Arabidopsis thaliana: one gene and its partner. The protein of the gene in region 2 interacts with the protein of the main gene of each other region in a pairwise test. Each region holds a gene or a part of one and is shown on either strand. Other genes may lie near its edges.

What was found.
Region 1: the proteins of AT5G04160 (region 2) and AT2G35470 interact in a two-hybrid assay, tested with the Arabidopsis thaliana proteins (one large-scale study listed by BioGRID).

What each region holds. Positions count from the first base shown.
Region 1 is NC_003071.7:14,907,745-14,911,582, forward strand, and holds AT2G35470 (ribosome maturation factor), read right to left. Parts: upstream 2,120-3,838; 5' UTR 1,977-2,119; coding exon 1,676-1,976; intron 1,567-1,675; coding exon 1,522-1,566; intron 1,428-1,521; coding exon 1,270-1,427; 3' UTR 743-1,269; downstream 1-742. Other genes in the region: AT2G35480 (envelope glycoprotein), read left to right, coding at 2,786-2,916, 3,569-3,838.
Region 2 is NC_003076.8:1,141,944-1,146,616, forward strand, and holds AT5G04160 (Nucleotide-sugar transporter family protein), read right to left. Parts: upstream 3,066-4,673; 5' UTR 2,835-3,065; coding exon 2,385-2,834; intron 1,916-2,384; coding exon 1,812-1,915; intron 1,557-1,811; coding exon 1,328-1,556; intron 1,237-1,327; coding exon 1,090-1,236; 3' UTR 792-1,089; downstream 1-791. Other genes in the region: AT5G04170 (Calcium-binding EF-hand family protein), read left to right, coding at 3,636-4,353. UniProt on the Arabidopsis thaliana protein: UDP-glucuronic acid transporter that modulates the polysaccharide composition of seed mucilage. Transports UDP-glucuronic acid (UDP-GlcA) and UDP-galacturonic acid (UDP-GalA) in vitro.

The DNA of each region.
Region 1 (3,838 bases), on a different chromosome or scaffold from region 2:
TTCTTACAATTTATATTATTAACTAAAAAGAAAAAACATTGTCAGTAACATTAGGCGTGAGAGTAGACCATAGGCGAAGTCTCTCACAATGTGAACTATAGTGCCATTGGTAGCTGAGACAAACTCTACAACGAATCTCCTAGAAGTCAATGTATACACGTCAACATCATTTGCATCAGATTTAATGGATAGAACGAAACAATATAATTAGAGATCATGCTTAAATATCTATAAGAAAGCGAATCCTATGAATGACACTATTTGCAAAACTTAGGCTTCAAGTCATAAATCCACTTAAAATAACAACAAATAGTAAGAGGAAACTGCGTCAACAAGATTAAAAAGTGGAAGGTAATTAACCGAACAAGCCAATGATTATTTGACACGTACAAGTGAATGAGAGAGGAGCGTCACGATAATGATTGTGGACTAAAGTGACAGTCGTCATTATGACAGACCGCGTGGCATCATTTATCTCACCAAATGTCCTTTTTCATTATTTTCCTGATCAAATTAATCACAAGTGGAGCACCCTAATTAACACGTTGATATGACGAACCGGACACATTAACACTTGCCATTACGTTTTAGATTTGATTCCTTCAGCTTCTTTAAGTTTTAGTTCAGCAATTATTTGATCGATTTGGATATATATTGAACCTATGATGATAATTTAGTAGTAGTGTAATGTAATTTTTTAGAAAATAATGTATGAAATTCATCAGTTTCATTTTTGGATAAATTCCGGTTTAACAAGTATGGTTTGGTACCAATTAATTAATTGATTAAAAGTTTCAAATTCAATAAAAATAATACATGTGGCTGATTATCGAATTTGATTCATAAATAGAGGAATATTTAAAAACGATTATTGAATAGAGGAGATTGGTCACTTTAACTCCTCATAGTAGTAATAATTTTCTGATTTCACTGAATCCAAGTAAATGCCTAGAGGAACAACAACGACGATTCTTTCCAGCTGGAATATTAATCCGAAGCACGAGGCACTGTAACGGTCCAAAAATTCCAGCTGGATTGCATAACTACTCTTAAAGGCGCACTCTAACCTACTCCTACTTCACTCTACTGTTAACCTACGCCTCTGTCAGCGTACTCTAGCATGACAGTTATAATTTCATCGGCGGCGAGGTTTTATTCGATTTTATCTGCCTTTCGATCAGTTATAACAGAAACGCGACTCGCAATATTTTAATTGGAAGTAAACAAATCGACATGCGATGCGACGAATAAAAATTAAGATTGCGATTGCTAGAAGTCGGCGGTTTTCCGGTGAGAAGTCCGGCGACGGGGAAGTGATTTCGTCGTGAAGCTTTCCGTCTCTTGTAGGTTTCGTACACTACTACGGATGGATAGAGTATCGGCTCTGATAAATCCAGAAATTTCGTCGCCATTTTCGTCGGATGATTCTAGTGGAGATCAAAACAATCAAATCAGGAACTCAAATTCAATGTGTTACCAACAGAAATAAAATTCGAAATGGGAATCGAATCTGCAATGTACCTAGATGTTTCGAAGGACGCATGAATCCATTAAACTGAGCCAAATCTGAGAAAAATTCAAAATCGAAAAACCGATCAAAATCAATAAACACGAGAAGATCAATCAATCAATCAAAAACAGGTGGATCGTCGGATTTTGAATAGGAGAAGCCAACCTGATTGAGACGGAGCGTAAGAAGTGAGGTAAAGGATGATAAAGCAGATGAGAGTGAGAATCGGAATGAAGTGAACAAGCTTCTCTTGTTTCTGATTCGTCGTAACAAAAGGAGATTGCAACGATGATAACCGTCGCGGCTTAAAGTCTTTGAGCTCGTGATCGTCGTAATCTACTGCGGATGACGACGAAGAAGGAGAAGAGGAAGCTGGTTTCAAGTCATCAATATCGTAGGTATCGTCCTTTCGTCCTCCATAGCTATGGAGCTTCGAAGCTGATGAGTCTAACGATATCCTCTGCATCGCCGACAGAGAGAGAAAGATGAGGGAGGCTAGAGAAAGAAAACTTAGTGAAGGTTATGGTTCGTATCAAATAAATATTGGTGAGTATCCCATAAGTAAATAAAAAGTAAATATGCACACACATGAGTTTATCATATTTAAATAGGAAATAATTATTACGCGATTATTATATATCTCTGTCTAATAACGAGAGTTGTCGTATTCGCTACTCATTTACTTTGGAATCTAGTAAAAAAATTCACAAAAAAAGAGAGATGTATATAAATATTTAAAAGAAAGAGGTTGGGATCTATAGAGAGTGTAGAATAACTGTAACACCAACGGAATTGATTCGGATTAATCTGATTGCTGAAGTTTATTCTATTTTTAGAGCGAATATATATATAAATCTTATCGTTTCAAGCAAACAAATTATTATTGCTTCACACAAAAATAATAATTATTGCTAAAAAAAAAGAAAAAAAAACATTGCATACCAAAAATTATGATTGGTGAACAAAAACCTAAATTATCCATAAAAAGTTTGTCCGTCTCGTCTATATGGGCATATTTCAAGGCTACAAAAGCCCAGCCCATTAAAACATTTAAAATAAAATCTTGACGAACAAGTAAAATGGACGGTCAAGATTGTATCGCAGATCAAGCAACCTGGTGCTTTAAACTAGAAACGGAGGATCTGTGATTCCGATGGGAGTGAGATTGAAATTTCTGGCGGCTCTTTCAAAGGAAAATTGTAGATTGTATTCAAATACGTTGAGGAAGAAAGAAGGTGACAAAGAGGAAGACGAAGAAGAAAGTTGTAGAAAGTAATGGTGTTGTGGGAGTTAGCTCTAGGAACAGCTTACTTCTTGGGGATTAGGCGGACTTACCGGCTCGCATTGAAGACCCAGCGTCGGCTTGTTAGCCCTAAGCATCCAAGGATTCGAGATTTTATGCATCGGTGAAGTTTCTTTCATCTTTACGCTTTTCTTTTTGTGGATTTTGCGATTTGGTTGTTTCTGATTTAGGTTTGACTGGAAATACGTTTCTTTGTATATGAATTGGCCTCTTCAATTGATGAAACTGCTTTGTTATTGATGTATCGTTCTGATTGTTTATTGTGTTTAGGTTGATTTCGATTTTCTACTGTCCAGTTAGTTTTGTTCTGACTCCCGTATCGCTATAAAAATGTGATTTAAGCAATGCAATGCAATGCAAGTGGTTGGATTTAAGTAAAATCAAGAGGTAGGCTAGTCCTATTTCCACGGTTTTGATTCGTTGAACTTACTTATGTGATTTCGTAATTCTATACATTGCTCTTGAACCATTCGATGTGAGATTCAAGAGTAGAGTGACACGAAGCTATGATGCATTTATTCATAGAGGGAGAGATAGAACATCTGGTGTTTCCTGGATTGAAGTCTTATATTGTGCCCGTTTGGGATTTGTAAGTGTAGTTGTCGCTAGGAAATATATTTGTTGATGCTAAGGTCATACAGTCGTATAGATAATGCTACTGTTAAACGAGTCTTGAGTTGTGTATTTGAGATTTCCATTACCGACTGAGACGATTGGTGTGTTAACTTTCTCTCTCTTTCCTTCCTTTTATGCAGGAGGACTTATCAAATCTTTGATATGGCACTTAGGGTCCACAAGAACATACAACAGAGAGACATGGTTATTGGTCGGAATCTTGGAAACTGGATTCTCCGGGGGCTTGACCGGATGAAGCCATCGGCTCAGGTTCTACTACCAAAGAATACAGAGCCAAGCATAGACAAGGCGAAAAGAGTATTACAATCAACCCGTCTTAAACCACATGTTAACACGCAGACTCCTCAGAACCGTGAGGTTGATAGGAACTTGTTCATGTCCTTGAGGAA
Region 2 (4,673 bases):
ACGTTGACAACCAATGTTTCAGAAAGTAAAACGAATTAACGTCTTTGATTTTATTAAATTCCTATATATAAATGCTAGAACATAATAAAACACGTTATAAAAATATATATTCCATATTCAAATAACTTGAATTGACTTGTGATTCAATCATTCACGAGTTTATTTTATTTTATTTTTGGGGTTGAAAAATGATTGTTTTATTAGAAGTTAGAAGAGAGCAGAGTATTTAAAAACTATAAGACTATCTTCCCCTCCTAAAGAATGTTAATGTGATAATGGTTTGCACGTCGGCGACAAGCCAGAAACTATATTCCAATGCATAAAAGTAAATCGAAACTAAACTTTTGTCATTGTTGGTAAGCCGTCCACTTATTTATCGATTTATATTAAAAAGCTCTTTGGAAGCTACTATAAGAATCTTCCAATCAGAATTATCTCAGCATGCATAAGAAAACATATATCATTAGTAAGTTTTCTCTAAATATTTTAAAGATTTACAGTATGTTAACGTTTACAAGTTATAATAATGTCATGTCTTCTTAAAAAAATTTCATTTATAAAAATGCACAACATCATGAAAATTTGCGTTCACAATCTATAATTGTTTTTTTTTTTAATTATAATTTTTGAGTAAAAAACATTTGAATGTTGTCATTTTTTTTCACAAAAAGAAAGTAAAAAAGAAGATATAGAGACATTAAATGATTAAAATAAGCAAACAACAAAAAACAAGTTTTGTTTGGGCTAAGCAAAACGTAATTGGCCAAACCTTCATAGCTTGGAGTAATATTTTTTTTTTTGCTAAAAAAAATGTAAGCTTGGAGTAATATTTGTTATTAATAAGTTCAATAACCAAAATGGTATTTCAACCAGGAAACACACAAAAATGATTATCTCACCATCAAATCTAACATAGTCCAAATACATATTACATGATAAAGTGCGTATAAAATAGTTACAAAAAATCACTATTGATAAATTCTCATCTCCTAAATGCCCAAAAATTTCAGGTCCTAAGGATGAGTCTTGAACAGATGAAGAAACAAACATAGAGAAGCTATGTTGTCTCACTTGCTAATGTCTGAGAGTTCATCTAAATCTGCGTTTTGTCTCTCCATAAGCAACCACCCCAAGGACGGTTATGGAGTACCCGCCAATTCCCATAACCGTAACCGGGTTTTGAAAGATCAAGATAGAAATCACCACTGCAACTGCTCCTTTAGCATTTCCAAGAACCTGCACAATGCGTAACACAATCAACATTGCTAGTCTCGTTATCTCCAAGATGGAGCTCTCCTGTGAGAAAAGGAGAGGCAAATAGGTTTACCTGGAGGGTGAGGGCGCTTGTGTGTTTGGTAACCAGAAAATTCAACAGATTGGCTGAATAAGCCATGACAGAGTTAACCAGAAGAAGTATCCACATGTACTGATGTTGTTTTGCAAGCGTCAAGGTCACACTGATCACGTCTGGTTCCATAAATAGCGTAACGGGAAGAAGAGCAATGACAGCTATGGGAGACATATACAACATCAAATTCATTGAGTTCAATTTTTCCCTGCAGGAAGAACAAAAAAGTTACATAAAGATGCACTAGTGTTTGTGGAGATGAATATCTTTGGTAGTTAACAATCTAATTCTATGAATTAAAATCTTAACCTGATAAAGTGATATATTACAACATTCTACCTAACCAATCATTTATGAGATTTCTTGATTTGACAAAAGTTTCCTGATTTGCTCATCTAACTGCTAGCAGAATCTTAAATTCTATTAGGATAAGATCAAGGTCATATTCTGATATATTACTTACCCCTCTGAAGAAAGTAAGATGCCTTGAAGAACAGATTTAAAGGCTCTTGCCGCAGTAGCACTAATGCACATTATGAACCCAAACCAGTGAAATCCTGGCTCACCCTGCAATGTAAAACTGGTACTTAGATCAAGATCATACATACAAAAAATAGCAATAAGATCGTCTCTTCACAATGATACAAATTCAAAACACACAAAACAAGGATATGATATAACCACTTGACAAGCTTCAGAGAAGTACAAAAACAGTATAAAGATATCACCTTTACGGAGAAATAAGGAAGGTTAGATCCCAAAATGATGTTCTACCAAATTCTACACCTGATTAAACCATAAAAGGCTGAAGCTTTTTAGATAACAACAACACTCAAATTTGCCCTGATTTCAAAGTTTAGACCTTTGTCCAAGTTTAGGTCTTTCAACATTAACATCTATTTACGGATCAGTGATCTGAATCCAAATTGGATCTTTCCAAAAAAAAACATGAATTTCAAATCTAGGGAGGTCCAGGAAACCTAACATTCAACACTGACATTGTTAAGAGAATTGAGAACAGAACAAAAAGGCTTACCCCACTGGCGATGACGACACCGGCGACGACAGGGACGAGAGCACCATAAGTAACCCAAGCTTCTCTCTTAAAGGTCATAAGATAAGCAAACAGAGCCGTGAAAAACGGCGTCGTAGCACCGACGGCTTGATTGAAAGAGACAGGAAGGTAACGAAGGGAGATGTTACCACCGACGACGGAAGCACAAAAGACGATGCTGAGAGTAGCAACCTTAAGGAATTGAGAACGAGATTTGAGATGTTGGAGAGGAACAAGCTTGAGGAAAACAATGGAGATGTAGCTAAGGATAGCGCAAGCGGACATGTGACACATTGTGAGAAAAATCGGGAATTTGAATCCGTAATTCGAGAGAAGGAACTTGTTGAGGAGAAGAACACCGATGTTTGAAGAGTACCATGAGATGATTAATGTCGATATGAACAGGGTTTGTTTCTTCGCAGACGACGACATTGTTGTTATGTTTTCTGATCTGGGTTCTTCTTCTTCCTCGACGAGATCGAGATTTCGTTGAGAGAATGAGAGAGAGAGAGAGAGAAAGAGAAAACGAGAGAAATCAGGTCCTTACTTGGAGCATGGAACGGCAAGGACACAAAAAGCTTTTAGATGAACAAATAAAGTTAAGCCTTTGCTTTTATTAATTAATGTCTAACTAAGTAACCCTTGTATTTGTAACGTATTATTTGCTTGTTAATTAAATTAAGTAGATAATATCAAAATCGTTGCCTAAATAACGACGATATTATCAAATCGATATTTGTATTGTGAAACTATATGGATTTGGTTAAAAGATTTAGAGGTTATGGTGAAGAAAATTACATTCAAGTAAGAGTATATAATACTACTATTTTTTTATGTTTCATGAAATATGATAATTTTAATAAGATAAAATATATGAAGATAATTCTGTTGAGGCTATTTGAAATTAATTACAACACAAATCAAACGAACTAATACAATATATCAAACCGTTCGAAATTAGTGTCTTAAACCGAACTAAAACCCCCGCTAATTATAGTGTCGGTTAGATCTAATTCCAATGGCATTATTGTAAATAGTTTGAAATTAGAGAGAAATTTCCCAAGAGTGTCCTTGACAATCTGACACAAGCTTGAGGTCAACTAAATATCACATTCAAAGCTTTGATTTTTATTTTCTCTTTCGACGAAAATCTCAAAACTTTAAGATCCTTTATTTCTGATCTCTCTTCGAAGTTTCGGTTTTTGTTTTCTTAATTGTCAAGTCATTTCATCGATGTCAGGATATCCTCCGACTAGCCAAGGTTACGGTTACGGTTACGGCGGCGGTAATCAACCTCCACCACCTCAACCACCTTACTCTTCCGGCGGAAACAATCCTCCCTACGGATCATCAACAACCTCTTCTCCTTACGCTGTACCCTACGGCGCATCTAAACCACAATCATCATCCTCTTCTGCGCCGACGTACGGATCTTCATCATACGGAGCACCGCCTCCTTCAGCTCCGTACGCGCCTTCTCCAGGAGACTACAACAAGCCGCCAAAGGAGAAACCATACGGAGGAGGCTACGGAGCTCCACCACCGTCTGGATCTTCAGATTACGGAAGTTACGGTGCTGGACCTCGTCCGTCGCAGCCGTCTGGGCACGGTGGAGGATACGGAGCTACTCCACCGCATGGGGTTTCTGACTATGGAAGTTACGGTGGTGCTCCACCTCGTCCAGCGTCTTCTGGTCACGGTGGCGGATACGGAGGTTATCCTCCGCAAGCCTCTTATGGAAGTCCTTTTGCTTCTCTGATTCCGTCAGGTTTTGCTCCGGGGACAGATCCGAATATAGTGGCTTGCTTTCAGGCTGCAGATCAAGATGGTAGTGGCTTTATTGATGATAAGGAGCTTCAAGGAGCTCTCTCTTCTTATCAACAGAGATTCAGTATGAGAACTGTTCATCTTCTTATGTATCTATTCACCAATAGCAATGCTATGAAAATCGGTGAGTTTTCTGATTGATTTGACCCAAATTTGCTTTAGATTCAACAAGGATTGTTAGTTTCTGAAGTTTTTTATCTCTATGATTCTTGTTCAGTATCGTTATTATCTGTCTAAGATGCAAAACTCAAAAGATTCATACTTTGGGTCATATCGTCAGGGTTTTTCTATTACCATGTTGGCAAAATTAACAATATTTGTGGACTTCTCCTTTAATTACGTGCAAAAGAGTATCCCACTGTCTCTATGATCTTGTTGAATCATTTGGTTTCATTATTTTAGTTCTAGTTGAAGTCATAAATAATCATTTAGTTCTGGTTTTGA